5 linked regions of the Sus scrofa genome follow. The protein of the gene in region 1 binds, or shares a complex with, the protein of each later gene. Links are inferred from orthologs where the notes say so. Each region holds a gene or a part of one and is shown in the gene's direction. Other genes may lie near its edges. The genes, in order: TUBGCP2, TUBGCP3, TUBGCP5, NME7 and TUBGCP4.

Region 1 (5,475 bases):
TGGCCACGGGCCCCACGTGGCAGCAGGTACCACGCAGCCCCCGGATCTGGGTGTGGAAACAGGCTGGTCAGGACCTGGCTGGGGGCGGGAGCCCTGGGCCCATCGCGGGCGGTTCGGCCTCGTAGGCTGGTGTGTGGCTCAGCCACGGCAAGGCCGGTTCTGCTTTTCCCTGCATGGCCGCCGCGCAGTTAGTTCGAGATGCTTTTCTCCCTCACTTACAGCTCCTCCTGCTTTCAACGCAGTGGCTTGCTCTGCTCTCCTGCCGTCTGTCTGTCTTCCTACTGTCCTTCTTCCGTGGCCTTCGAGCCACTCAGAGCCACATCCCATGAGGTCTAAGCTGCAGGCCCGTGCAGTTGGGCACGCCCTGTGTCCAGCGCCTCTGTCCCTCGGCCCCTTGGGGCTCAGGTGGGGGCGCCCCTTTGCCACCAGCTCTTGCTGGGCCTCTCCCTCACCTGGCTGTCGTGTTTGGACCCCGTGCCTCGGGAAAGGTGGCTCAGGCCGCACGAGGCTGGGCCTGTGCTGTGGGAGGTGCTCTGGGTTGACCTGTGGGCGCACACAGGCCGGCCCCTGGCGTTGTGACGGCTCGGAGGCATGTGTTTCGTTTGCACACGTTTGTTGAAGGTCTCGTGAGTGCAGGGATCCGCTCTTCACACCTTAGCCGTGTCACTGTCAAGTGTTTGTGCTAAAAGTGTGTCTTTTCTCTTTGTTTCTGAAAATGCCTCTCCCAGTCCCTGGAGCTCACCAGGAAGATGCTTCGAGACAAGCAGAGCAAAAAAAACTCGGGCCAGCGTCTCCCGGTCCTCCCGGCGTGGGTGTACGAGAGGCCCGCGCTGCTCGGGGACTTCCTGCCCGGGACGGGCGGGAGCGCGGACACAGCTGTTCCCATAGGTAGGTGGCGCGCTGACTTCCGCCGGCAGGAGCCTCACAGAAGTCTGTCTGCGCGACGCCCGCAGAGATGGCAGGCGGGCCTCATGCTGTCACAGGCCTCCGCTGCCCTTGGGGTCCCACGGGCCGCCGTCCCCCACGTCCCATCCCTGATCACCAGTGGGTGGCGACGTGGCAGCTTTCGGGCGGCTCTGTGCTGGCTTCGGGAGAGTGTGTGTCCTGGGGCTCCCGCGGACCTGGGGGTCGTCCTTCTCAACAGAATTGCGGGCACTGCAGGCGCTGCTGCCGGGTGTCGAGCCCCCAACCACACAGGCCTTCTAGTGTCGCGTTCAGAGGACCATGGGGCCTTTGGGGACGCGGTATGTGTCCTGTCGCGTGCATCTCACCTGGCAAGCCCTCCCCTGGTCAAAGAGCCGTGTCATCCCTCTTGCTCACAGCGCTCGCGTGAGAGGAGGCGCTGCGGTGCCCTTCGGCTGCCACGCTTTCTCTGCACAGCACCTGCCATGTGGCCGCTGGAGGAGCTTGCCCCGCGGAAGTCGTCACGGGGCCAGAGGTTGCAAAACCTGGTCCCTGGGACCATGTCCAAGGACGAGAAGCAGGGTGGCGGGGGGGCTCCTGGTAGCACCGGAGGTCGTGGGCATGTAGGGGGCCTGATGCTGCAGGCCTGGGGCAGGAGATCCGGGGGCCTGCTGGGCTGGCAGGTGCCACAGGCTCCCCGTGTGGCCAACAGAAAGCAGAGAAGTTTCTCAGCGCTGCCAGGGGACTCTGTTGACGTCGGGTGTGTGTGGTCGTTAGAAGAGCTGAGTTCCCGGCCCTGCGTGAGGCCCACTCGGAACTGCCGGGGAGGCCCAGCCTCAGAGGAGGCGGCCAGGAGCTGGCTCAGCAGGGCAGGGTGTGCTCACAGACAGCAGACGTGGCGCGTTCCCATCTGGGCCCTGCCACTGGGGCGGGTCCCGCGCACACCCAGGGTGGGCCTGGCCGGGGGCAGCTTCTGCGGCCGCCTTGCACAACGACGCTCCCGGGAACTTGGGTAGGGCGGGCGGCCTGGCCACCTCCCTCCCTCAGCCACAGGCTCGCGAGGTGGGATCAGCGTCCGTCCTTCGGGCCCCATGTCACCTCTGTCACGCCCTGACACGGCTTCTCCCATGAGCCTCTGTCCCGTCTGCGCTCAGACCTGTGTGGTCAGGGTGCCTGTCCTCAGCCCTCCCCTGGCCTCCCTGTGGCAGAGTCTCACCTGGGAACCGCCTGCCCCCTCGTGCGACGTGCAGCCTGCCCCCCGCCAGCCACATGGTGCCTCCCAACCTCCTGGAGCGGAGGCAGCCCCCACCTGCCCGAGGCCGGGCTGCCCTTCTGCGCACGGGCCTGCAGCCCCGTCTGCTCACCCGGGCCGCCCCAGCCTCGTTCAGACGGTGCCGCGAGTCCGTCCTCAAAAGCCCTGCCCTGGCCTGGCGCTTGGCCCCAGAGACCCCACGTGCAGGGACCTCCTTGCCTCTAGCCATGTGTGCAGCTCCCCCCGCCGCCGCCTGCTGTGGCCTTTGTGGAGCCAGAGCCTCCGGCTCAGGTGCTCTGGGTGTGGCCAGTGGACACGGGTGGCTTGTCTCCCCTCTCGCCATCTCGGCCTGGGTCCTCAGGCTGTGCCTCTGGGCTCATCGGCATTTCCTTTTCCCGGGAGACCGCGCCTGTTTTAAGGAATCTGATGTCCCCAGTGTGGCCCCAGCTCGGTCCCTAGCACGGCTCTCCACGATTCCGGCTCATGTGGCCATTCATCTGCTGAGCATCCACGACGGCTGCCGGCCTTCCCCGGTGTCGTCGCCACTGCCGCGTGGTGACTGGTGGTGCCCGAGTCTGCCCCACAACCCCGTGCACAGCCAGCTGGGTCCCAGCGCCACCTCCCCCCACGCCTCCAGCCTGAGGGCGGCTTCCACCCTCAGCCACTTGGGCTCAGACGCTCCCACAGAGCTTCCTGTTCTGTCTGCTGTAACAGCTGGTGGACACTGGGTGCAGCTGGCGGGGACCTTGGTGGCTGCGACACTGCGTTGGGGTGTGGACCCTGAGCCCGCCCTGCCCCCAGGCCATCTCTGTCCTCAGAGCTGGCCTCAGGCGTCTGTTCTTTGCCCCTGAGGCCATCTCCATGGAGCGGTGGAGACCCTGGTGGCTTGGTCCGTCCAGTCCCTGCGCGGTGTCCCCTCACCTTGGAACATCTCCTGTCCCCTAGAGCTTGGCCTCAAGCTGGCCTCCTGACAGCCCTGCGCCCTCGGCTGGCCTCACGCGGTGCAGCTTGTGACGCTCCTCTCCCCGCGCTGCGGGCAGGGTCCCCACCCCAGGGCCTGCGCCCCCCGCCAGGCCGGGGTGGCCCCGACGTTGGCAGTAAATGGTGCAGAGGTCAGCAGCCCTGCACTTGAAGACCAGGCGGCCAGACCTGCCCACCTCCAGGGTCGTGAAGGTCACGTCCGAAGGCCGCTAGGGCCGTGGAGGGTCTGCGTGGAGTGGCTCTGAGTCCAGAGGGACCGGTGCCTGGACAGGTGGCCGTTGGACTCATACCTGTCCCACCTCTGCAGATAGGTGTGTGCCCACGGATGTGTGCAGCCGGCAGTGCCCCTGTCAGCTTGGGTGTCTGGGCCGCCCATCCTGAGCTGCCAGGCCCCGGCTTGGGTGCCCTGCTGCTGACCTGGGTCCCCACAGGGCCTGGGGGCGTGGGGGGCAGGGGCCGCCCTGCGGGGCCGGGGCTCTGGCAATGTCGCGGACGCCTTTCTCTTGGTGCTGCCTCCACCAGTGGGGGTCTGGGAGGGCGGCAGGACTGTCTGGGCTGTGAGGAGTTGGGGGGCGGCCCTGGTCCGTGGCCTGTGACTGTTGAGTCTGTCGGGGTCACAGGGAACCATCTCAGTCACGCGTGGGGTGGAAACCGTCGGCTCTTTGAAGCGTTCACAGAGAACCTCCTTATCCTCACACGGCCCGGGCTTACAGCTTGGAAGTACGGCGCGCATCAGAGGTGCTTCTGGGGAGTTCCCACCAGGGCTCAGTGGGTTAAGGACCCGACTGGTATCCATGATGTGGGTTCGATTCCTGCCCTCGCTCAGTGGGTTAAGGATCCAGCGTGGCTGTGGCCTAGGCCGGCATCAGCAGCTCTGATTTGACCCCTAGCCTAGGCACTTCCGTATGCCGCGGGTGCGGCCACACACAAAAAACAGTGCTTCCGATTCCCAGCCTGGTCCCTTTAGACAGGAACGCACGCGCATGTGTGTGTGTGTGTGTGTGTGTGTGTGTGTGTGTGTGTGCACGCATGCGCGCGCATGTGTGGGCTTCCGTTTGCTTGGTGCGCGCAGGCTCTGCCAGGCAGGGCCACTCCCAGGGTGCCCAAGCGCCTCTCCTGGTGGTCGCTGTGGAGGCACAGCCATTGGGGCCCCGCATGAGCACCGTGGTTCCGCCGTCCACGAGCGCCGGAGGCAGGTGCGCGAGGGGAGCGCACGGGGAGCCTGGCGGCGAGGCCCCAGCCGGCATCTCGGCCCACAGGCTCGCTGCCCCTGGCCTCCCAGGAGGCGGCCGTGGTGGAGGACCTGCTGTACGTGCTGGTGGGCGTGGACGGCAGGTACATCAGCGCCCAGCCCCTCACGGGCAGGCAGGGCCGCACCTTCCTGGTGGACCCCAACCTGGACCTGTCCATCCGCGAGCTGGTGAGCAGGATCCTGCCGGTGGCCGCCAGCTACTCCACCGTGACCAGGTAGATGCGGGAAAGCTGCTCAGCCCTCTCTGGGGAGAGGCCCCGGGGAGCAGGGACGAGGGCGCCTGGGGTGTCTCCTGGGGAGGAGCTGCGTGCAGGCGGCCTGGCCTCCTGAGGCGGCTGTGCCCTGGGGCTGGGCTGTGTGCCTTTCGTGCTGCAGGTTCATCGAGGAGAAGTCCTCCTTCGAGTACGGGCAGGTGAACCACGCCTTGGCGGCTGCCATGAGGACACTGGTGAAGGAGTACCTGGTCCTGGTCACGCAGCTGGAGCAGCTGCAGAGGCAGGGCCTCCTGTCGCTGCAGAAGCTCTGGTTCTACATCCAGCCTGCCATGCGCTCCCTGGACATCCTGGCCTCCCTGGGTGCGGCCCGGGCTGGGGTGCTCAGCCTCCACTGCTCACGGTCGCGAGAGCCAGGCTGTGTAGCTTCGTGGGGAGTTAGCTGGTGTGTGGGCGGAAGACAGGGAGCGGTCAGGGGAGTGGCCAGAAAGTGCAGCCTTAGAGTTTGAGTCCATCCCACAGAGAAAGCCTGTCCCGCATTCCCGTCGTGGCCCAGCAGGTTAAGAACCTGACTGAAGACCAAAAAAAAGAAAGAGAAAGCAAGCCCGTCCCCCGAGGAGGCGAGAGGGGCGCCAAGGGGCTCTGGCCCGGCACGGGGACCCCGTGGCACTGAGCCCTCTCAGCACTGAGCCCCGCCTGCCTCCTCCCCTGGCAGCCACCTCGGTGGATAAAGGCGAGTGTATCGGCGGGGCGACCCTGAGCCTCCTGCACGACCGCAGCTTCAGCTACACGGGCGACAGCCAGGCACAGGAGCTGTGTCTGCACCTCACCAAGGCCGCCAGCACGCCCTACTTCGAGATCCTGGAGAAGTGGAT
Region 2 (5,475 bases), on another chromosome or scaffold:
AACTCATTTATTTAGTTTTTAAATTTTGTTCTGGTTGCTGATATATAGTCTGCGACGACCCGTGTTTTGTAATTTATTCATCTCTTGTTTGGTGATGGTTCTCCTGTGGAAACTCCGTTGCAGGTGCCGTGGAGGTTACGGAGGCGGCCCTGGTCAGAGACATTCTGTACGTCTTCCAGGGCATAGACGGCAAGCATGTCAAGATGAGCAACGCTGACAACTGCTACACAGTGGAGGGAAAGGTACGTAGCTGCCAGCCCGTCCCAAGTGCTCAGAGGTCAAACGTCAGTAGGACCAGGTAAGTGCTGTGAGGTGGAGGGGGTGATGGGGGTGACAGAGCTGGTTTGCAGACTCGGAGTCCCGGTCAGGCTGTGCTCTTGTCCCTGTGCGGCCTTGTCTGGGGGGCCGTCGTCCTCAGCACTTGCATCCTTGCCTTGTTTCGCTGGTGGCCGCTGCCCTTCCAGCCGGCCTCTGCATCCTTCCGTGGTCACGCCACAGTTACCTGCCCGTCAGGTGTCTCGGCATCTTTGCCGTCGATACAGATTCCACATACGATGCTTCTTGCTTGTGCTTCTGTCCTCCTGACCTTGCCTTTCCACAGTCCTGGCTTCCCTGCATCCTTCTGCTTCTCTTGGCTGAGTCACCAGGTGACTGATGTCCCAGGCAGTCCCCCTACGCCGGGCGCCCTGGCTGGGCGCTCCTGGGGACAGTGGCGCCCAGGTCTTGTGTTTTACCTCCCCGCCCGCTCCCTGAAGCTGTCTCCTAGAGGCTTCGTGTCTTCACTTTAGTGCTGGTATACCAGTTAAAGTTTCCTGGGTTGAAGCGTAAGAAATACAGATATAAAAGTACGTGTGGTTGAGAAGAAGAATAATTAGTTGTGTTGAAACATTTTTTGAATTTTTAACTCTTGGTATGTTCGCTTTTCAGGCAAACCTGAGTAAGTCTCTTAGGGACACGGCGGTCAGACTTGCGGAGTTGGGGTGGTTACACAATAAGATCAGAAAGTACACGGACCAGAGGAGTCTGGACCGGTCCTTTGGACTCGTAGGTCAGGTATGTGGTTTGTTGCTGGGGCACCCGGGGCGCCTTCGCTGGGGGAAATGCTTGTTCTGCTCAGTGTTAGGGTGAAGGTAGCTCTGAAGGGGGAATCTTTCCATGGAGAGAAGTTTGGATGATAGACTTGCGTCAGTCGCGGTCCACCCGAGAGAACAGAAAGCACAGTATGCACCGACAGGCGGAGTCAAATATAGCCGCTCAAGGACTGCTTAATGAGCTCTCAGGGACAGTGACCATGGATGAGTCACCTGACATGTTTTTTGTTTGTTTGTTTGTTTTTTGCCTTTTTGCTATTTCTTGGGCTGCTCCCGCGGCATATGGAGGTTCCCAGGCTAGGGGTGGAATCGGAGCTGTAGTCGCTGGCCTACACCAGAGCCACAGCCACGTGGGATCCGAGCTGCGTCTGCAACCTACACCACAGCTCATGACAACGCCGGATCCTTAACCCACTGAGCAAGGGCGGGGACCGAACCTGCAACCTCATGGGTCCTAGTCGGATTTGTTAACCACTGCGCCACGACGGGAACTCCACTTGACATGTTTTTATGTATTTTCCCTTTGACCTGATTCTTTTAAATATTTTTTTAAACACGGATGTAGAGTCGATTTATAATAGTGTGTTTCTTGTGTATAGTGACATATGCAAGAGTGTGTTTTGTTTACACACATGTGTGTATGTGTCTATATTCTTTTTCTCCTTTCCATTATAGCTTCTTGCAAGCGTTCCCTGAGCTGTACAGTAAATCCCTGTTTATCTGTTTTATACATGGCAGCGTGCACCTGTTAACCCCAACCCCTCGTTTCTCCCTCCCCGCATTTCCTCTTTGGTGACCGTGTTTGTTTTCTGTCACAAGTCTGCTTCTGTTTTGTAAAGAAGTTCATTTGTACTTTTTCAGAGTCCACATGTAGGTGATATTCTGAGATACGTGTCTTTCTCTGACCTCCCTTAATGCAATAACCTCTAAGTCCATCCGTGTTGCTGCAGAAGACCTTATTCCATTCCTTTCTGCGGCCGAGTAGTGTCCAGAGCGTCCGTGTGTTTATGCACATCTGGAGCCGATCCTCTGTCTGTGGGCATGTAGGTTGCTTCCGTGTCTCTCCCTTCCAAATTTTTAGTGTGAAAGTGTCATTTTCTTTAATGCTCTTCGCTAGCAGTATTTTATTTCAGTTTTATTTTTAATGATTTTTATTTTTCCCGTGATAGCTGGTTTACATGTTCTGTCAATTTTCTGCTATAAGCAAAGTGACCCAGTCACACATACACATATACATTCTTTTTCTCACCTTATCTTCCATCCTGCTCCGTTGTAAGGGACTCGTTATAGTTCCCAGTTCTATACAGCAGGTTTTTTATTTTAAATTGTTTTATTTTTTTATGTTTTTGTCTTCTTAGGGCCACACCTGTGGCATATGGAAGTTCCCAGGCTGGGGGTCGATTCGGAGCTACAGCTGATGGCCTCTGCCTCAGCTCACAGCAATGCCAGATCCTTAACCCACGGAGGGAGGCCAGGGATCAAACCTGTGTCCTCATGATTACTAGTCAGATGTGTTTCTGATGAGCCACGATGGGAACTCCCTCTAGCAATATTTTAAAACCGATAACTATCAATTCCTTCTATTATTGTTATTATTGTTGTTGTTATTGTTCAGTGTGTACCGTCCAGAGTTTATTGAAAACTGCCTTGTACGTTTCCATTCTTAAATTCCGAGGTCTCACATCAAGAGCTGTAGGAAGGAGCTTCACACTCTGGTGACCGGAATTTTCTGGAGTGAACTCCGGGTGTAAGCCGGGACAGAGACATTCAGGGGGAAGCTTTGGTTTCCACGAAAGCCCGTGACAGGCAGAACCTGCAGAGGATAAAACCTGTTCCCTGCAGACAGAAAACAAATTTACGGTTGCCACACGAGGGGGGAGTTAGATTAGGATTTGGGGATTAATAGAGTCACATGACTGTACATAAAACAGGTAAACAACAAGGACCTCCTGTGCAGCACAGGGAACTGGGGCCCAGCATCTCCTAATAACCTATCACGCCAAAGAATCCAAAAGAATAAGCCGCAGTGCATGCGTGTATGTGCAGAAGCAAATCGCTGTGCTGCCCGCGGGGAACTGACCCGCCCAGTGCTGCGGGTCGCCTCGACTTGATTTACAAGGATGCGGCCCCGCAGCCCTCGCTGAAGGCAACGCGCCTTCGCTGTGTGGAACCCGATTCCTCCTCGCCCCGCCCTCCCTCCGGACGGCGGCGTGGTGGTGGCCCCGCCCGAAGACCGAGGCCAGAAGCGGAGTCCAATCCCGAGGGACCCGCGACCTCGGGCTCGTGGCGCGCCCCGCGCGGCTCCCGTGCGTTGCTGCGAGCGTGCAGGGTGCGGGACTCGGGTCCGGCCTTCACGCGCCTCCTCCCCCCTCCCCCGCAGAGCTTCTGCGCGGCGCTGCACCAGGAGCTCAGGGAGTACTACCGCCTGCTCTCCGTCCTGCACTCCCAGGTGAGCACCCGCCGGCGTGGAGCTGCCCAGCGCCCCCCGCGCTGCGCGAGCGGATGCTTCCGCCCTCGCTTTTAGGGAGCAGGACCCGGCGATACGTGCAAGGACGGGCCGCGAGGGTCCCGGGTGGCCTGGCGCCAGCAGGTCACCTGCGGCCTGAGCTGTCATCTCGGAGGGCATGTCTGTTGCGTTTTTATGGGAATAATCCCTTCCCCGGGTCTGCACGGAGTGAGGGGGTAACGTATGTGGTGACCTGCGCTTACTCGTTCTCTCTCCTGATTTTCAGCTGCAGTTAGAGGACGACCAGGGGGTGAATTTGGGCCTCGAGAGCAGCCTGACGCTGCGGCGCCTCCTGGTTTGGACGTATGACCCCAAGATGAGGCTGAAGACCTTAGCAGCCCTGGTGGACCACTGCCAAGGTCCTTCTGCCTTACTTCACAGCGGGTTTTAGGGGGTAGCCCGCTCTTTTGTATGCTTAACAGCCAGAAGTGTGCCGATTAAATGCAAATGAGTAGACGTGACCTTGCGGGGAAAATGCCTGTTGCCGGCAGGGCCCAGCGTTCACGCCTGTGGAGGCTCAGGATCTCCTGAGCTGAGGGAGGAGGGCGGGGGGTAGTTTTGGGCCTCGTTAGGGCTGTTGGTTTGTGTTCCTTTGTCTCATCTCAATGAGCAGCCTTTCCTGGGGTTTCGCTCCTCCGGAGTGCGGTCCACGTGGGGCACCAGCTGTGCGACAGCCTCCCGTCTTTGCCCGTGGGTTGGGCCTCTTCTGGTCTTTTTGTCTGTATCTCTAGTTGCCTTCTTGACATTTTCCTCACTGTTTATACTTCCTTGTCTCATCAGTTAACACAGGGACACTAAGAGTCTCTACCTCCAGGGCCGTTAGGACCAGATGAGACTCGGGAGCCGGTGCTCTGCCTGCCCTCTGCTCTCCCTGCCCCCTCCCCCTCGGGGCAGTTCCCCAGCCACAACTCAGCAGGACTAACTGCCACGTTCACCGTGGCTGGCAGCCTTACCTCTGAAGGAAATCAGTCGAGTACAATGAATAAATCCCAGCGCTCCCCGTCTACCAGCAGGCCCCGCCTCTGCCTTCGTCCCAGCCCCATCTCTTTCGGTGTCCCCTGGCCCCCAGCCTGGACTCCGGCATCCCTGCTCTGTGCCTTCACACGCTTGTCGTGACCTGCCGCCTGGCTCTGTCGCTTTGTGTGCACACGCGCAGAGGGTCTTACTCAGAGCAGATCCTTAAAATCTTCCCTCAGTCTCGTAAAACCCTGGATTTTTCCCACTTGGGAAATTCTCAGTGTGCCTCGACTTTGGTTTTGGCCACTCACAGCCCTTTCTGCTGGGCTGTGCTCCTGGGACTCTGGGCACTGTTCTCACGGAGCCACACTGCAGGTGCCACCAGTTCATGGGTTATGACATCATTTTAGCAAGTTGAGATCAGCATATTATACCAAAAAAAAAAAAAACAGGAGGAAAATACTCAGGCGTGAGTATGGTTTTGCAAATGTCCATCTTCTACCCCTGCTGCTTTGTGCGGTAGAGCGCAGTGTCGAGTCTGAGTCTAAAGAGCGTGCGTCTCGGTCAGAGCAGGTGCCAAGTCCTGCTCTAGACCTTCTCCCAAGGCAGGTTCTCCGCTGTGGTCGTGCCGGGGAAGGGCTCTGGCGCGTGTGGAGCCCGGGAGGCTCTGGCCCCTCGGCCCCCGGGCCGCGATGTGCTGGCAGCTGCTTCTAGGTCCAGATGGCACCAGGTCTCTGTGTCGTGGCTCTGTGGGTGGGTGTACCGTTCCTGGTTCCTGCTGTGACTCTTAGCGTGGGTGTTTCCTGTGTCCCTAGGAAGGAAGGGGGGCGAGCTGGCCTCCGCCGTCCACGCCTACACCAAGACGGGGGACCCGTACGCGCGGTCGCTGGTGCAGCACATCCTCAGCCTGGTGTCACACCC
Region 3 (5,475 bases), on another chromosome or scaffold:
TGTGGCATGCAGCTGTGGCAACACCGGATCCTTTAACCCACTGCACCAGGCTGGGGAATGAACCTGTGCCTCCACAGTGACCCAAACTGCAGCAGTTAGATTCTTTTTTTTTTTTTTTTTTTTGTCTTTTTGCTATTTCTTGGGCCGCTCCCGTGGCATATGGAGGTTCCCAGGCTAGGGGTTGAATCGGAGCTGTAGCCACCGGCCTACGCCAGAGCCACAGCAACGGGGTATCCGAGCCGCGTCTGCAACCTACACCACAGCTCATGGCAACGCCGGATCGTCAACCCACTGAGCAAGGGCACGGACCTAACCCGCAACCTCATGGTTCCCAGTGAGATTCGTTAACCACTGCGCCACAACGGGAACTCCAGCAGCTAGATTCTTAACCCACTGTGTCACGGTGGGATCTCCGTGCTTTAGACTTTTTATTTTTTAATTTTTAATTTTTTTTTTTGTCTTTTTGTCTTTTCTAGGTCTGCTTCTGAGGCATATGGAGGTTTCCAGGCTAGAGGTCTAACTGGAGCTGCAGCCACTGGCCTACGCCAGAGCCACAGCAACCTGTGATCCGAGCTGCGTCTGCCACCTACACCATAGCTCACTGCAACGCCGGATCCTTAACCCATTGAGCAAGGGCAGGGATCAAACCCGCAACCTCATGGTTCCTAGTCAGATTTGTTAAGCACGTGCCACGACGGGAACTCCACTTTAGACTTTTTAAAAGATGATATTGAACTATCTTGAGTCTTAAAATTATTAGATAAAAAAGATTGATATTTTCTATTTTCTAATTATCTGACCTGTGCCATCCCTCACCCTTCCCTTCTTTTTATGAAAATTTCTTAGGCATTAGTGTAATGAACATTTTCTGAGACTTAAATTTCATTCGTCTTTTTTTTATTTCATTTCAGGTTACTTTCAGGGGTAAAAAAGCTGTTTATATTTCAGTTGATAGATGGAAAGGTAGCTGTGAGAAACAATATTATGGTAACTCACTTGACACATGTAAGTTGTTTGCATTTATTGTAATTAAATAAAATTAAATATTGTAATTAAAATTGTAACTTTAGAACATTTTGCAGTATTAAAATTAACTGCTAAATATATTTAAAATCCAAAAGACAAAATTAAGTTTGTATCTTTACAGTATTTAGAGAATTGTTTGGGATGTTCATATTTAGTTTTGTTTTATGTTTTCTGATTTTTTTTTTTTTTTTTTTGTCATTCTGTATTGGGAGAGCTATTATAGTTTTTCTGCCTATGGTATTATATGTTTACCTTATATGTATGTGGGGGGTTTTTGGGTTTTGATTCTGTTTTTTTGTTTTTGTTTGTTTTTTGTTTTGCTTTTTAGGGCTGCTCCTTTGGCATATGGAGGTTCCCAGGCTAGGGGACGAATCGGAGCTGCAGCTACCGGCCATAGCCACAGCCACAGCAACGTCAGATCTGAGCCATGCAAACTCTCCCACAGCTCACACTGAGCAGGGCCAGGGATTGTACCCGCATCCTCATGGATATTGGTCTAGTTCGTTACCTCTGAGCCATGACCAGAACTCCTGTTTTTAGAAAAAATATAAGCCAAAATGTTATATTTTATAAAAATTAATGCTTACACTATTTCCTTTGAATATGAAACTGAATATTCGTTTTATAACTTTATCTGTTACTAAGCATACTGTTTAAAATGATCATAGGAACCATGAGGTTGCTGGTTCGATCCCTGGCCTTGCTCAGTGGGTTAAGGATCCAGCATTGCCATGAGCTGTAGTGTAGGTCGCAGACATGGCATGGATTCCGAGTTGCTGTGGCTGTGGCATAGGCCAGCGGCTACAGCTCCAGTTAGACCCCTAGTCTGGGAACCTCCATATGCCTCAGAAGCGGCCCTAGAAAAGGCAAAAAGACAAAAAAATAAATAAATAAATGAAATGATCATAGAAGAAATATTTTACACTGAGGGGGATATGAATAACAATGCCTGCAGGGGACTGACTTTAAACCATTGTGGTTTGCTTCTGTTGTAGAGCTGCTTACGATCAGTGCTAGAACAAATAGCTGCATATGGCCAAGTTGTGTTTCGACTCCAGGAGTTCATTGATGAAGTCATGGGGCATAGCTCTGAAAGCACGTTACCTGGAAATGGTTCTGTTCCCAAGAAGTCGACTGACGCACCCTTTAGAACATACCAGGCTTTCATGTGGGCCCTGTACAAATATTTCATTAGTTTCAAAGAGGAACTTTCAGAAATTGAGAAGTGCATCATCAATAATGGTATTTAAATATTCTTCCTTTTTATTCATAAGACACATTGGAATGCTGTTTAGGTTAACAATTGATACAAGATTTGAAAATTACATGGCAAATAAGTAATTCTGAATACACTCGTTTTGGGAGGGTGGGGGTGCATACCTATGGCATGTGGAGGTTCCCCAGCTAGGAGTCAAATTGGAGCTGCAGCTGCTAGCCCATGCCACAGCCATAGCAACGTGGCATCTGAGGCACATCTGTAACCTGTACCACAGCTAATGGCAACGCTGAATCCTTAACCCACTGAGTGAGGCCAGGAATTGAACCTGCATCCTCAGGGATACTAGCTGGGTTCATTACTGTTGAGCCACAAGGGGAACTCCCTGAATACACTCATTTTTAAAAATTATTTTAAGCCATTTTATTAAAAATCATTTTTAAGCCATTCATTTCTCAAAATCCAAACAGTATAGAAAGATTTATACTGAAAAATTCTTCCTGTGCCAGTGCCCAAGCCCAGAGGCAACCATGTGATCAGTTTCTTAGACATCCTTCCAGAAATAATTTGGACCTATGTAAAGCAAAGCATATTCATTTACACATATGTAGTAATCCATTAACTGCTCTCTTCAAAGTGTTTCTTTTTTCTTTTTTTTTTTTTTTTTGCTATTTCTTGGGCCACTCCCGCAGTGTATGGAGGTTCCCAGGCTAGGGGTCCAATCGGAGCTGTAGCCACCGGCCTACGCCAGAGCCACAGCAACGGGGGATCCAAGCTGCGTCTGCAACCTACACCACAGCTCACGGCAACGCCGGATCGTTAACCCACTGAGCAAGGGCAGGGACTGAACCCGCAACCTCATGGTTCCTAGTCGGATTTGTTAACCACTGCGCCATGACAGGAACTCCCCCAAAATGTTTCTTAATTTAAACTTTGAGGATTATACCATGCAAATATATAAAGAGCCTCCTCGTTCTTTTTTACAAATTGAGCCTTTTGTTGTATGGATGAATCATAGACCAGTCACCTTTTGATGGCCATTTAGGCTGTTTCTGATCTTTTATTGTTGCCAGCAGTGCTTCAGTGATAACCACTTATGTGTAAGTAATTGTACACATGTTTAGAAAACACGGTACCTATAGCACAGATTCTTCAGAGTGGAATTGCTAAGTCAAAGGGTATGTGAGGGCATAGGCAATTTCAATAGATATTGCCACATTGTTCTCCACGGAGATACAGATAAATAACTTTACACTCTTGCCAGGATTATATATGAGTACCCATTTGTTCACAGTCTTGCCAATGGTGTGTTTTGAAACTTTTGAGTTTTCTCCAATATGATAGGTGAAAATGGTGGTGACCCAGTAAAGGTGATCACTGTAACCTGTAACTTTATAACTACTGCAAAAAACATAGTACACTGAGGTCCCACGTCCCCATCACCCAACTTCCTCTAGTGTTAACATCTTACATAATTATAATATGTTAGCAAAACTAAGAAATCGACATTGGCACAATACATTAACGTGTCTGCAAACCTGACATGGGTTTTACCCGTTTTGCAGGTACTTGGCTTTTTGCAGGGAGGTTCTTTGACATTTTATCACATGTGTAGGTTTGTATAACCACCTCCATATTTAGGATTCAGAGCTATGCCATCCTGATGAGGGAACTTGTTCTTGCTGCCTTTTGTCGGCACCCTTCCCAGCTTCCCCTCACTAAAATGGAACCCACTGTAGTCTGTTTTTTGTTTGCCCAGTGTAGTTTTTATTTTGCATCCTTTTTTCATAAGTGAGGTTGAGTGTCTTTCTCTATGTTTAAGAAGCACTTGAATTTCCTTTTCCATGAAATGTCAGTTCCTTCATTTATTATTTTTCTAAGTTGTCTTTTCCTTCTTTAGTGAGTTCTTTTTTTTTTATTTAGGAAAATTTATATGAGATTAAAACTCACCATCCTCCAGTTTGCTGTGCTTTTCCACAAGTGTCTTAGCATTTATATCACATTTTGACTGCAGATATATTTCCTTGCTAATGAGTTTGATTTCTGGGTATTTGCAGATACTACAGTAACTCTTGCAATTGTGGTGGACAAGTTGTCACCTCGACTGGCTCAGCTCAAGGTTCTGCACAAAGTGTTTAGTACTGGAGTAGCAGAAGTTCCACCTGACACTCGAAATGTTGTTCGGGCATCTCACCTGCTTAACACCCTGTACAAAGCCATCCTTGAATATGACAATGTTGGAGAAGCCTCTGAGCAAACTGTATGTGGGACCCTTTTCTAGTCCACTGAGTGTAACTCATTCTGGTCAACCACGGGAGTGGTGGATAATCTGTCATAGATCTTCAGAAAAATGGTGTATCAGAGAGTTGTTCTGAGTTTTCTTTTTTTTTTTTTCCATGGCATATGGAAGTTCCCAGGCTAGGGGTCACGGTCACATTGGAGCTATAGCCAGCCTATACCACAGCCACAGCAATGCTGGATCTGAGCCGCATCTGCAACCTACACCACAGCTTACCACAATGCTGGATACTTAACCCAATGAGCAGAGGTCAGGGATTGAACCCGAGTTCTCATGGATACTAGTTGGGTTCGTTAACCAACTGAACCATGATGGGAACTCCTGTTCTGAGTTTTCAAATTAGCTTCTAAACTTGAGGCTGCAAGAAACTAGTTTTTCAGCCATAATTGCCAAGATCACCAGAAGAATGCCACAAGAATAAAATGTAAAAGCAAGCTGTGAAAAATACCTAGGTGATTTATATAGATATTTATAATAACCCTTTCTTAAATGAAAATAACAAATCCATGATATAAAGTATCTAGAGTAGTCAACACAGAAAAAGAGAATGGTAGTTACCAGAGACTAGGGGAGAGGAGAAAAGGGGAGATGGTTAATAGGTAGAGTTTCCATCTTGCAGCATGAAAAAAGTTTGGAGGAGGTCTGTTTTCACAACAGTATGAATACACTAAACACTAATGAACAGTACACTTTAAATTGGTTAAGGTAGTATAATTAATATTATGTATTTTTTTACCATAATTAAAAAAAAATACAAGTCTAACTAGAGACTATAATCTAGAAAAGCTGCAGGTTAATTTGGATGTTTTACCTTATTTCTTGGTGTAACTTTGTTTTCTCAACATTTTTGTACTGCATTTCAGTAGAAAAGAAGTTGATTTCTTTCAGCTCTGCAATTTCTTTTTTTCCTTCTTTTTCTTTTATGGCCATACCA
Region 4 (6,044 bases), on another chromosome or scaffold:
GCCTAGATCAGTAGGTTAAGGAACTGGTGTTGCCATGAGCTTCGGTGTAGGTCGCAGAGACAGCTTGGATAGTGTGCTGTTGTGGCTGTGTTGTAGGCCAGCAGCTTAGCTCGGATTCCACCCCTAGCCTAGGAAACTCCAAATACTGCGGATGCAGCCCAAAAAAGGGGAAAAAAAAAGGTATTAAAGTAATTACCTTCTCAGGAGACATGGACACTATTTTGTTCACTACATGACAGAGGAGCTTCTGTTTAGATGTTTAACAAGTGACAAAAAATTCATAATAACTTAATTTGCATTTCTTGGTAAAAATTAAAATGTCATAGCATATATTTTCAGAATGTATGCATGACCTTACTAAATCTTAGTCTTACTAAGATTCAGGCGAGAACATGAGAAGGAAGGTAATACTAATGCAGTGATCACGAATGATGAACCAGGCACTAGATGACAAATGGTTTCACTCACAAAAATGATAACTCTTGAGTACTCGATATAACTCAGCATAGCGTCTTCCGTGCCTACCTTCCTTAAAAGTCACACCCCCGCCGCCACTGTTCTGAAAAATAGCTCTCCAAAGACCCTTCGCAAGAGCAATGAACCCTCGGAAGATGCGCAGGGAAATGTACAAAGGTCTGCAGGCAAATACTAATTGAAGGGGGTGGGGGTGGGTCTGGAGTGTGTAACAGGTATGAAGGTGGCAGGAGTGGAAGCGACAATCCTGTCAACCTCTGCCATCCCCAGAAGTCAAATCCAAAGTTCCGTCCCTGTCTGAACAAACCTTCCTGGAACAACGGGCAACCTTTCCTTAAATCTAAAGCGACTGAATGAACAACACACTTCAATCCAAACCTCTGTCCCTTTCCAAAATCCCCTCTCAGTTACACAAGCCCTTTCCTGGACTTACCTCTCAGATTCTTACTCTCCCAATTGCAGGGGGCCTCACTTTACAGGTTCTTTGGCTAGATATCACGGGTTAACTTCCGCGCACACTCCTCTAGCATTCCGAAGCCGATCCGCCCCAACCTTGGGGACATCAAGCTTTTGGTTCACGGCTAATTACTTCCGATTACTCAGGGTTTCGTTTCCGGAATACTTTTCAGAAGGAAAACACTTTTGGTGCCATTTAAACTCAAGTGACGCAGTGACGCAGAATATACGATTCAAGACTTCAGTAAAACAAAACTGGGTAGACTCTTATTAAAAAATAAAAAAAAGAATACTTGGACCCTAGCCGCATATAAGCCTGAACTTCCGGGTCGCCTTTCAACCAAACGGAAGTGATGATGCTGGAAAGAGGTAGGTGGTGTTCCGTTGCTCCAAGCTACGGCGTGAAGGGGCGGGTCGGTCGGCTGGGTGGGCGGAGCTCTATTTACTCCCAGCCACTAAGGACAAAGGGGCGGGGTAGTGGCGGCCCGCTCCGAGTCCGGCAGTAGGTGGGGCTCTGTTGCCAGAGTAACCTGGCGTTGGTGTTGGTGTAGGTGTTTTCCAGTCGCAAAGTTACCTATTTCCTGGTGCTGAGATCCCGAGGCGATGGTGAGTGCAAGGCGGTGTCAGAAGAAAGGCATCGCGGTCTTGTTTATGCTTTGTCCCAGGTCCTGGGGCGTCTGGGCGTTGAGAGGCATCCAGATCGCTTCTACCTTCGGCTGGTTATTTCTTTGTCCCTTTCCAGGAACTGTCCGTGCAATTTCCTCGCTTTCCCTACTTCTTGCAGCACCCTGAATTACACTTTGGTCCTGCTGAGCCTGTAGAGTATTGTGACAGGAAGTTTAAGGCTAAGACACGGAGTCTAGTAGTCTGAGGTGAGACCTTATTTCGGTCAAACATTGGAGATGTATGCATTTTTCATCATTGCATTTTTTTCAACCTCTCAGCTTCACTTTAACACGCTTCATTTAAAAGTATGTGGTGATGTTTATTTGACTTTTTCATGACTGATCCGAATCTCTCTGAATCCTGTAGTCTTTGCTCTCTTGAGGGCCGAGTACCGTTCCACACCCTAAGGGCCACCTAATAATAGCTGCATTTTGCACTAGCCCTAAATTATACAGTTGATTACCTTTTAACAGGAATACTCCATAATATCACTTGGAAATCACTTCTGGAAAATTCACTTGCTAGAGCTTCACCTTCAGAAATTCTGCATGAATAGAAACAGGCTCCATATTTGCATTTTTAAAAAAGCCTATAGATGATTTTCATTCGATCACATGTTCGAGAATGCCAGGTATGGCTATGAAATTAAATATGGAGACCCACCCAGAGTTCCCGTTGTGGCTCTATGCATTAAAAACCAGAGTAGTATCCATGAGGATGTGGGTTTGATCCCTGGCCTCGCTCAGTGGGTGAAGGATCTGGCATTGCTGCAAGCTGCCGCTTAGGATTTAGCCAGAACCTGGCATTGCTGTGGTGTAGGCTTCGGATTGGACTCCTAGCGAGGGAACTTATATATGCCACAGGTGTGGCTCTAGAAAGAAAGAACAGCAACAACAAACAGAGATCCACCCACCACCCCTTCTTTCTCTGTTAGGTCTTGTGTTTCTAGTTCAGAGAAACAGGTATTGAAGGATAATGCTTCCATCTTTGCTCTAGATTTTATTCCCTCCCATTCCTTATAGGACTTTCTGCTTTTGGTTATATTTTTTTCTTTCCTGTGCTTTCAGCCTCTTCCTCACCATTTCCTTCTCCCCCCACCCCCCCCCCCGTGTTCAAGCCATACACCTTAAGAAAATGAAATAAAACAAAAGCACACCCCCAGCCTGTGTTCGTTCAGTTTATTGCCTAGTCCTCCCATTTATCAGTAAACTGCTTGAAAGCATAGTGCTTCCATTTGTATCAAATTCAGCTCTTTACTTTCATCCTCAGCACTCAGTTATCTGAATTCCTCTAATGGCTTCATGAAGTTGTTCTTGCTTAAATTTCTTATGGCCAAATCCAGGAGTTTCTTCTCAAAATTTATTTAGCCTCTCTTTGATAGATGAAGCTCATCATCATTCATTCCTTCTTTTTTTTTTTCCCCACTGGCTTTGCCTACTTTTTAAATGCCATTCTCTGGGATTCATTCCTTAATTTCTTAGTCTGTCCATTTTCTTTGGCTGATTTCATCCACACACAAGTGTTCCACTAATGCCTAAGCATTCATTCTTAAATTTCAGTTTCATCTCAGACCTGGTAAGCATTCATTCTTAAATTTCAGTTTCATCTCAGATCTGGTAAGACCTGGACACTTCTAGCTGGTTACCACAAAGGCCCCTCAAACTCAACCAAAACTGAACTTGCTGTCTTTTCACCTGGCTTTTTTTGTTTCACCAAGTTGATGCTACCACTATATTTATAACCTAAACCAGAAACCAGAGTTTTCCTACACTCCTTTCTCTCCTATGTCTTCTCTGTTCAGTTGGTCACCTGATTCTGGTTTAGTTTCAGATTTCCTCAATTCTTTTTTTTTTTTCCTTCGCTTTTTTTAGGCCTTCACCCGAGGCTTATGGAGATTCCTAGGCTAGGGGTGTAATCAGAGCTACGGCTACCAGCCTATGCTTCAGCCACAGTAATGCCAAATCTGAGCAGCCTCTGCAACCTACACCACAGCTCATGGCAACTCTGGATCCTTAACCCACTGAGCGAGGCCAGGGATAGAACCTACAACCCCATGGTTCCTAGTTGGATTCATTTCCACTGTGCCACGACGGGAACTCCGAGATCTCCTCAGCTTTTGCTTGCACTGTTGTAGTAGTGTCTTTAACACTCTGGTCTGGTAATTCTTCAATTCATTATTTTCTCTACCACAAGAAGGAATTTACTGAACCCTAAATCTGTTGATGTTAATTACCGCTTTAGAACTCTAGACTCCTCATTCCCAACAGTATAAAAATTCAGCCTATCTGGAATGGCATACAAAGCCTTCTATGATCTAGGACTTAACCTGTCTTGCTTCTGTCATGAAACTTTCTTAGACATTCTTTTAGTTACTTGCCTTTTCATTGAACATTCCAAGCAACTGCAAACTGGTGGTAAGCCTCTTTCCTCTACTTTGCACATGCTGTTCCTTCCACCTGGAATACCTTTACTGCCATGTTTGCTAGCCAAACTCCTATTGATTCTTCATTCCTAGGTTAGGTGTTTTTCTTCTTTCTCTACTCAGAGAGAGTTGACTCTTCATTCTTTTTTTGTCACAACTTTACACAGTACACATTTCTCTTATTGTACTTACCACATTCAGTTGAAATTATTTAATAGGTTTGTCACTCTTACTAGACTTGATCTGTTAGAGGAATGGATCTTTATTTTGTTCACTGCCATTGCTTAGATTGTATTAGGCACTCAGCTGAATAAATTAAAAAAAAATAAGAATGTGTTAAGTGTCTGTGAGGGTACCAAGTACTTGGGGGATATTGGAGGATGGAATTTTCACTTTTCAGAATCAGAAAATCCACAAAGCAAGTGGAATAGAATTTCAATAGCTGGAATTTGGTGATCTGTACCATGGCATAGGGAGATAGTAAGTGACATTTGTGGAATACTGTTTTTTTGTGCCTGTCTGATATTTTTTCATTCAGAATTCCCAACAACCCTAAGATCAGTGAACTTCTATCCCTATCCTCTTATTCTGCCTGGAGTTGGGTGTGGTGGCTCTTTCAAATTGGGTGGTAAATGAAGGCTCCTCTAAGGAAGTGAGCTTTGTCTGAATGGACTGAATGATAAACTGCAGTGAACGAGGGAAGGGTTCTAGGCAAACTAACAACAAGATCAAAGGAGCGTCGAGTATTGCAGGAACTGACCTTATGGTTTAATGTGAAAAAAGAGTAGATATTAGATTATGAGGTGATGTGGGGGTGGTAGCAGTACAGGTGTGTGGTGGAGATTAGCAGGAAATTAGGGTAGAAAGGTAGGCAGGGGGAAGACAGCAGTATGTTTCAAACTGTGGTTGTATCCCATTACTCAGTCATGAAATCAATTTGTGGTAGGTAGCAGCATTAAAACGAAGACACATGAAATAAACATTTTCCATATTCATTGCATATGGCAAGGGTCACTTTCATGAAACTTTTGTTTTAAATTGCATGTGCGTTGGGTGTACAGGGTTATGCTATAGAATATATTTATTTCTTACTATGCATCATGATCCACAAAGTTCAGGATGTAGTGTATTTAAACAATACATACTCTGAATGGCAAAATTGTTTAAATCTCAAGGCATGCAGATTGCTTCTTCCTCCTTTGACCTAGTGACAATCTTACTGCATATCAGGAAAAACTGAATTTAATGAAAGCCTAAGACTGACTCTAGTAGAATTTTCAAGATCCTTTCTGCATCCAAATCTCTCTCCTGTGTCTGTTGCTGTCAGTCCTTGAAGAGAAAGAGTAGGCCTTTTGAAAAAGAGAGAGAAATGAAAGCCCTTTTCCTGTGTTCAGCCTGACCACTGACATCTGTACTCTTTCAAAGCTGGTGGTCTCTATAAGCAGCTGAAGATGGAGCTTGTTTGCTCTGCTGGTGTGGCTTCCTGATCACTGAAATTAAATTATCTGCATCTGGTTTGTTGCAGTTGTATCTTCTAGCACCAGAGTTGGGTTCTGGCTAACACCTTTACCTTACGAAGCAGAGATAGGCCACTGTTAGGTATATCTCACATACACGTTGTTTACGATAAAGAATATACTAGAACCATCAATTTATTTGCTTTTGCGCCTACAGAGAATGGAGGAGATAATTCCAAGACTCTTTTGACTAATAAAGAGGTATGAATTTATATATCTTCTAAAATAGACCACTGATTTAAATACTGTTAACCAAGGTGAACTGCTAGTATAATTAAGGCCTTTAAAGTTTATCAGCTATGTTCCACAAGAATTAAACTAAACAAATATCTCAAAGTTGATGTTATTTTACAAGAGGCTTCAGGAGTTCCCTGGTGATCTAGTGGTTAAGGATCCAGTGTTGTCAGTGCTGCGGCAAGGGTTTGATCCCTGGCCTGGGAACTTCTGTGTGCTGTGGGTACAGCCAAAAGAAAAGGTAAATAAAATAAAATAGCCTTCAAAGAGAGATT
Region 5 (5,475 bases), on another chromosome or scaffold:
CCCAGTGGCTCAGTAGGTTAAGGATCCACCTTTTTTATTGCTGAGGCTCAGGTTGCTACTGTGGTGCAGGTTTGATCCTTGGCCCCGGAACTTCCTTATGCCATGGGTGAGGCCAAAAAAAAAAAAAAAAAACCAAAAAAAAACAAAAAACAAAAAACAACAAAAAAAAAACCGCCGAAACAAAACTTCAGCTTTCTTGAAAGGTAAGCCATTTTTTCTAAATAGCCTCTTGGTGAGCATCTAACAATTCCCTGTGTTGGCTCTCAGATTCATGTTTTTGATGAATCTCTATGCCAGGCAAGAGAAGGGTTATTAGAAGAGAATTGAGGTCATTTTATTTATTCATTAAATATTTACCAACTGTTCAAAGAACTGTGCGAGGAATGCAAAGATGAGTAACATGTGGGCCCTCACTTCATGAAGCTCCTGGTCTAGTGAGAGGACAGATAAACAAAAGTACAATTCTAGCAGTAAATAGAGGTGCAGTGAAAGCAACAAAGGGGAGCTGTTAATTCCCTAGGAAGGGTTAAAAGGGCCTTGCAGGGAGAAGATGCTTGCATTGGGTCCTGCAGGAATAGTAAGTATTTATCACAAAGATGAGCCCTCAGTTATAAGTAGAATACGCTCAAATTCACAGGAGTGGGAGATAGAAGCAAGGCACAACAGGTGAGCTGAGAGTGGTCTGGAAATGAGCATGTGAAGTTGGAAGCAGTGAAAGATAATTTTGGAAAGAGGGTCAGGGCCTGAATGCAGGAATCACCGTAAGCCATGGAGGGGAATTTAAAGGTTATTCTGGGACAAGAGGAAGCCACCAAAGGGACTTAAGCCAGAGGCTGTAAGGTTAGAATTGAGTTGTTGAAAAACCTCCGCTGAATATGGAGTAATACCTTGTTTGTAATATCTGAACCACTTGGAAAATTAAAACATTATCACATTTTAAAAGATCAGGAGTTCCTGTTATGGTGCAGTGGGTTAAGAATCTGAATGCAAATTGGCACAACATTGTAAATCAACTATAATTTTTTAAAAAGGAGAAGAATTAAAAAAAAAAAAAAGACTCCAACTGCAGCAGCTTGGAGTTTGAACCCCGGCCTGGTGTAGTGGGTTAAAGGCATTGCAGGTTAAATCCAAGCAGCTGTGGCTCGGATTTGATCCCTGGCCCGAGAACGCAGCTGTGATTAAATAAATAAGTAAATAAATAAAAGACCAGGACTCAAAATCTTTCTCTTCAGTCAAGTTTTCCTCTTTTCGAAGTACTGCTTTGATAGGGAATTATTTAAGCAAAACAAAAACAAAACATGCTATTAATAAAGGATAATGTCTTCCTGGGCTTCAGGGTCTGAGTTGAAAAGTTGACTTCTTTTTGTTTGATTTCAGGATCACCATCCATCTCAGCAGGGCCAAGGTGGGTTACACGGAATCTACCTTAGAGCCTTCTGCACGGGGCTGGATTCAGTTTTGCAGCCTTATCGCCAAGCACTGCTTGATTTGGAACAAGAGGTGAGAGGAGAAATGGGAAGCAACACCTCTGGGACAGCAGAAAGGGTCCTGTTCTGGATTTGAAATGCCCTTGGATATAGTCGGGTAGTTAAGAGTGAGCTGTTTTCTGTGTGGCTGGTGGGTACAGTGTGTGCTCTGTGATTGCCTAAGCCCTGATCAAAGGACGTGCAGACCACGGCAAAGGATCTCGGTGAGTTTAGAAGGAAGAGCCTTTGTTTCGGTTTTATTATCACCTGAAATTCAGAAGGAGCAATCTTCTCTAAATGATCAATTCTCTGTTGCCTAAAACAAACCTTAAGCCTACTCTCAGATTCCCTTCCAGTCTTCATGTTGAAATAGATTTGAGATCTTTTATATAGAGTCCTAATCAATGTTTTTTGTTGCAGTTCCTGGCTGACCCGCATCTCTCCATATCACACATCAATTACTCCTTAGATCAGGTGTGTTGCCCAGGTAACAAAATGCTTTGGAATCTGTTGTTAGAATAATCTTACTGTTTTTGACAACTTGTTCCCTTCTGGATTCAGAGCCCAGGATTTGATATTTTGTATGCTTTCCTGGATCCCAACTGTTTGAAAAGCTCCAAGTTTAGTAAAAACTTACTTTGTGATGTTAGTGCTATAGCTTGGCCTCAGTGTTAACAGTTACGCTAACCGCAGAGAACTGGTTCTGTCTGCCATTCTCTTTGTGCCTGCAGCCAACCCCCATATCAGATTGTCTTAGGGTACTGGACCTGGGCTGTTCAGTGATTGCCTTCTTTATGTTAAGTGGGACTGTTTAGAAACAAAGGCTTTTCCTGAGTTAATTGTTTTTCCTTGCATTTGATTATATACCATCCTAATTATTCTCTACTTTGCAGTTCCAGCTCCTTTTCCCTTCTGTAATGGTTGTAGTAGAACAAATTAAAAGTCAAAAGGTGAGAACTTTCCATTTTTCTTTTGCTTGCATAAGCACCAATGGGATACTGTATTTAATTTTCCTTTACATTCTTTTTTTTTTTTTTTTGCTTTTTCAGGGCTGCAAGTGCAGCATATAGAAGTTCCCAGTCCAGGGGTCTAATTGGAGCTGCAGCTGTCGGCTTTCCACATCAAGGTGAGATCTGAGCCGCATCTGTATCCCTATACCACAGCTCACAGCAATGGCTACTAGTCAGGTTCTTAACCCAGTGAGCCACAAAGGGAACTCCCTACATTTTTTTTTGAGACCCTAGTTTTCAGTAGTTTTTAACTTATTTCTTTATTCATTCAACAATATCATGCTTGGGTATCAGGAATGCAAAAATAAGTTATGACCCAGCCTTTAAGCACCTTCTGGGTCCAGACGGTGAGGGAAATGATAATAGATGTACCCAAGAATGCTGCTGGGTAAGAGAATAATGTTGTGGATACTTGGAGGTGAGAGCTTTGTACACTAAGGATTTAGAACTACTGGACACAGATCTAGAAGAAAAGCATAAAAGTTACTCCTTAGAATGAAAAAAGGTGGTAGATTTATCATTAGGGTGCTGGTAGTTTTCTGACAATTATTTAATCATTGATGAAAGCCAGATGTTTATTTATTAGTTAGATATGCCTTTTCTTTTCTTTCTTTCTTTCTTTTTTTTTTAAATGGCTGCACCCTCAGCACATGGAAGTTCTTGGGTCAGAGATTGAATCTGAGCCATAGCTGTGGCAATGCCAGATCTTTTTAACCCACTGCACAGAGCTGGGGATCAAACCTGGACCTCCACAGCCACTGGAGCCACTGCAGTTGGATTCTTAGCCCACTGTGGCACAGTCAGAACTCTTAATATATGCCTGTTCTCATCACAAGTTTTTATCATATGCATTGAAAATTAGGGTCTCCAGTGTCCAGAGAGTATCTTTTCTGGCAGAATTAATAACTCTGAGATGCTTTGAGATTTGGGGAGGGGAGGTGGGATGGGGGGCACGCCCACGGCATGCAGGAGTTCCTGGACCAGGATCAAACACTTGCCACAACAGCAACCCAAACCTATGCAGTGACAATGCCAGATCCTTAAGCTGCTGTGCTACATGTGAACTCCTGATGCTTTTATATTAGAAGAAAATCTGCTAGTTTGTAATTGGACTAGAGAAGACAGATTAAACATGTTTAGTTCATTCATGTTTTTAAGCTGTTACAGTTGTGCCTTAGCTTATTAGGAGTGTTCACTTGAATATAACTAGTTACCCAGTTAGTTTGTCAGATGGCTACTTCATTTTTTTCTTGTATAAATCTAGAAACTTACACTCTGCTGTGTTCATCCTGTGCCAGCCAAGCCAGTGGGGCAGGGGTGGGGGATGCTCTTTAGCCTGACAAAGCTGATTGCCCTCATCAAGTAACATGGAGCTTTTATTGTGCACTAGCTGCATACCAAGCACTGTGCTAAGTGCTTCACATACAGTCAGTCCTCTGAGGAATCAGATAGATTAAGGAATGTGCACAGGGTCACACAGCTGGTAGTAAACGGTAGAGCTGGGCTATAAAACCCACAGCCATCTGTGGGGACTATGCTCTTAACCTCTCTACTAAACCAGCTCCCAGAATTGGAGGCGGCTTTCTAGGTAAGTGGAGTTAGTGTTAGCGTCCGTGCATTGCTGCACATCCCAGTTGAATTTGAACTTCCATTGGCCACAGGAAGGAGAATAGTAAATAAATAGGGAGATTGCAGATGCGTGAAGCTTCGTTCCTGCTAGGAAGGTGGTAGGAAGCTGAGTGCTAAGGCCCAAAAAAACAGGTAGTCAAGAACACAGGCTGTGGGTGAGAACAGGGGTGAATGCATTGGCCCCAAGGGATCCTTTTAGAGTAATGGAAATGTTGTAAAACTGGATTATGGTGTTGATTGCACAATGCTACAAATTTACTCAAAACTGTTGAAAGTACACTCAAAATGGGTGAATTTTCTGGTGTGTAAATTATACCTCAGTAAGGTGGTTTTTTAAGAAAGAAAGAAAAGTATATACCTTATAAGAAAGCTGAATTAGGCTTTAATCTGAAGAGCTCTCTTTACCTCTTTGCTTGGAATTTCAACTCTCTATGATATTCCTTTCCCTAGTGTGGTAATTCCCAAACTTCACTGTGGATTAGAATGATCTGGGGCAGACTGTTAAAACCAGATCGCTGGGCCCTACCCCAGGGATTCTGATTCAGCAGGTCCAAGAAGTTGCATTTCTTACCAGTTTCCAGGTGATGCTGCTGCTGCTGGGGGGATGGGGTGGGTGGAGGGTCCCTACTTTGAGAACAACTATCGTGATGTTTCAATTTATAATAAGAAATGTGTATATTTGGTCTTTGTCCCATTTCTGTCACAGAACTCTTAAAACTCAGAATTTCCTAAGTAATGACAGCAATAAAGGTATCTTGATAGTTACAACAAATCCCTATCTACTATAGCTGAGTTTGTTAATGAGGTAACTTTTGGAGAGCACCTAAGTATGGGGGTGGTTGCCAAAGGAACCAACCATGTGATTGGAGGGTTGGTCCTTCCAATCCCACCATCTCCCCACCCCGCCCCGCCCACACAACCCCTCCAGGGAGAGGAGGGGCGGGGCAGAGGGCAGAGAGCCGGAACTGGAGTTCAATCAACAGTGGCCAGTGATTAAATCAACCATGTTGCCTGTGTAGTGAAGGCTCCATAAAAACCTGAGAGGACAGGGTTCGCAGAGCTTCCAGGTTGGTGAAGTGCAATTACTCCACGTGCCCCTAGGCAGGCAGAAGCTCCTTTGTCTGCGACCCCACCCTTTGTATCCTTTTGTCTGGGTGTTGCTTTAGTGTCCTTTGTAAGAAATGGGTAATCTAGTGAGTAATGGGCTTCCTGAGCTTGTGATTGGTATTGAAAGTGGAGGACCTGCTTGGCTACTGAACCTTTAACCTGTGGAATCTGAGGCTGTCTCTGGGTAGATGGTATCAGAGATGAGTTGGATTTAGGACTGGCCGTGTGAGGAAACCTCTCAAACACTGGAATTGGAGTCAGAA

The links.
Region 2: the proteins of TUBGCP2 (region 1) and TUBGCP3 are in contact, whole or in part, in a cryo-EM structure (PDB 8Q62), measured with the Homo sapiens proteins. The link is inferred for Sus scrofa from reciprocal best matches to the Homo sapiens genes TUBGCP2 and TUBGCP3. Residues at the interface, in NP_006650.1 of Homo sapiens: Gln172, His173, Pro175, Ile176, Phe177, Pro178, Trp180, Arg184, Ala186, Leu187, Ile188, Gly189, Phe191, Leu222, Tyr223, Val226, Val228, Asp229, Gly230, Arg231, Glu278, Ser281, Phe283, Gln287, His290, Ala291, Ala294, Arg297, Val300, Lys301; in NP_006313.1 of Homo sapiens: Glu272, Asn273, Cys274, Ser286, Leu287, Asp289, Thr290, Val292, Arg293, Glu296, Trp299, Ser361, Thr363, Leu364, Arg365, Leu368, Val369, Tyr372, Lys375, Ile376, Lys379, Ala382, Ala383, Asp386, His387, Ala402, Tyr403, Lys405, Thr406, Gly407.
Region 3: TUBGCP2 (region 1) and TUBGCP5 share a complex: the UniProt entries of both Homo sapiens proteins name them as parts of the gamma-tubulin ring complex. The link is inferred for Sus scrofa from reciprocal best matches to the Homo sapiens genes TUBGCP2 and TUBGCP5.
Region 4: TUBGCP2 (region 1) and NME7 share a complex: the UniProt entries of both Homo sapiens proteins name them as parts of the gamma-tubulin ring complex. The link is inferred for Sus scrofa from reciprocal best matches to the Homo sapiens genes TUBGCP2 and NME7.
Region 5: TUBGCP2 (region 1) and TUBGCP4 share a complex: the UniProt entries of both Homo sapiens proteins name them as parts of the gamma-tubulin ring complex. The link is inferred for Sus scrofa from reciprocal best matches to the Homo sapiens genes TUBGCP2 and TUBGCP4.

What each region holds. Positions count from the first base shown.
Region 1 is NC_010456.5:141,242,030-141,247,504, reverse strand, and holds part of TUBGCP2 (gamma-tubulin complex component 2), read left to right. Parts: coding exon 1-26; intron 27-728; coding exon 729-888; intron 889-4,395; coding exon 4,396-4,603; intron 4,604-4,763; coding exon 4,764-4,963; intron 4,964-5,315; coding exon 5,316-5,475. UniProt on the Homo sapiens protein: Component of the gamma-tubulin ring complex (gTuRC) which mediates microtubule nucleation.
Region 2 is NC_010453.5:78,213,875-78,219,349, reverse strand, and holds part of TUBGCP3 (gamma-tubulin complex component 3), read left to right. Parts: intron 1-123; coding exon 124-242; intron 243-927; coding exon 928-1,053; intron 1,054-3,471; coding exon 3,472-3,540; intron 3,541-3,823; coding exon 3,824-3,956; intron 3,957-5,369; coding exon 5,370-5,475. UniProt on the Homo sapiens protein: Component of the gamma-tubulin ring complex (gTuRC) which mediates microtubule nucleation.
Region 3 is NC_010457.5:32,011,792-32,017,266, forward strand, and holds part of TUBGCP5 (gamma-tubulin complex component 5), read left to right. Parts: intron 1-911; coding exon 912-1,005; intron 1,006-2,021; coding exon 2,022-2,268; intron 2,269-4,299; coding exon 4,300-4,502; intron 4,503-5,475. UniProt on the Homo sapiens protein: Component of the gamma-tubulin ring complex (gTuRC) which mediates microtubule nucleation.
Region 4 is NC_010446.5:81,638,506-81,644,549, forward strand, and holds the start of NME7 (nucleoside diphosphate kinase 7), read left to right. Parts: upstream 1-1,401; 5' UTR 1,402-1,533; coding exon 1,534-1,536; intron 1,537-1,672; exon of another isoform or gene 1,673-1,802; intron 1,803-6,044. UniProt on the Homo sapiens protein: Possesses an intrinsic kinase activity. Displays 3'-5' exonuclease activity with a preference for single-stranded DNA. Does not seem to have nucleoside diphosphate kinase activity.
Region 5 is NC_010443.5:128,069,971-128,075,445, reverse strand, and holds part of TUBGCP4 (gamma-tubulin complex component 4), read left to right. Parts: intron 1-1,377; coding exon 1,378-1,500; intron 1,501-1,886; coding exon 1,887-1,940; intron 1,941-2,359; coding exon 2,360-2,416; intron 2,417-5,475. UniProt on the Homo sapiens protein: Component of the gamma-tubulin ring complex (gTuRC) which mediates microtubule nucleation.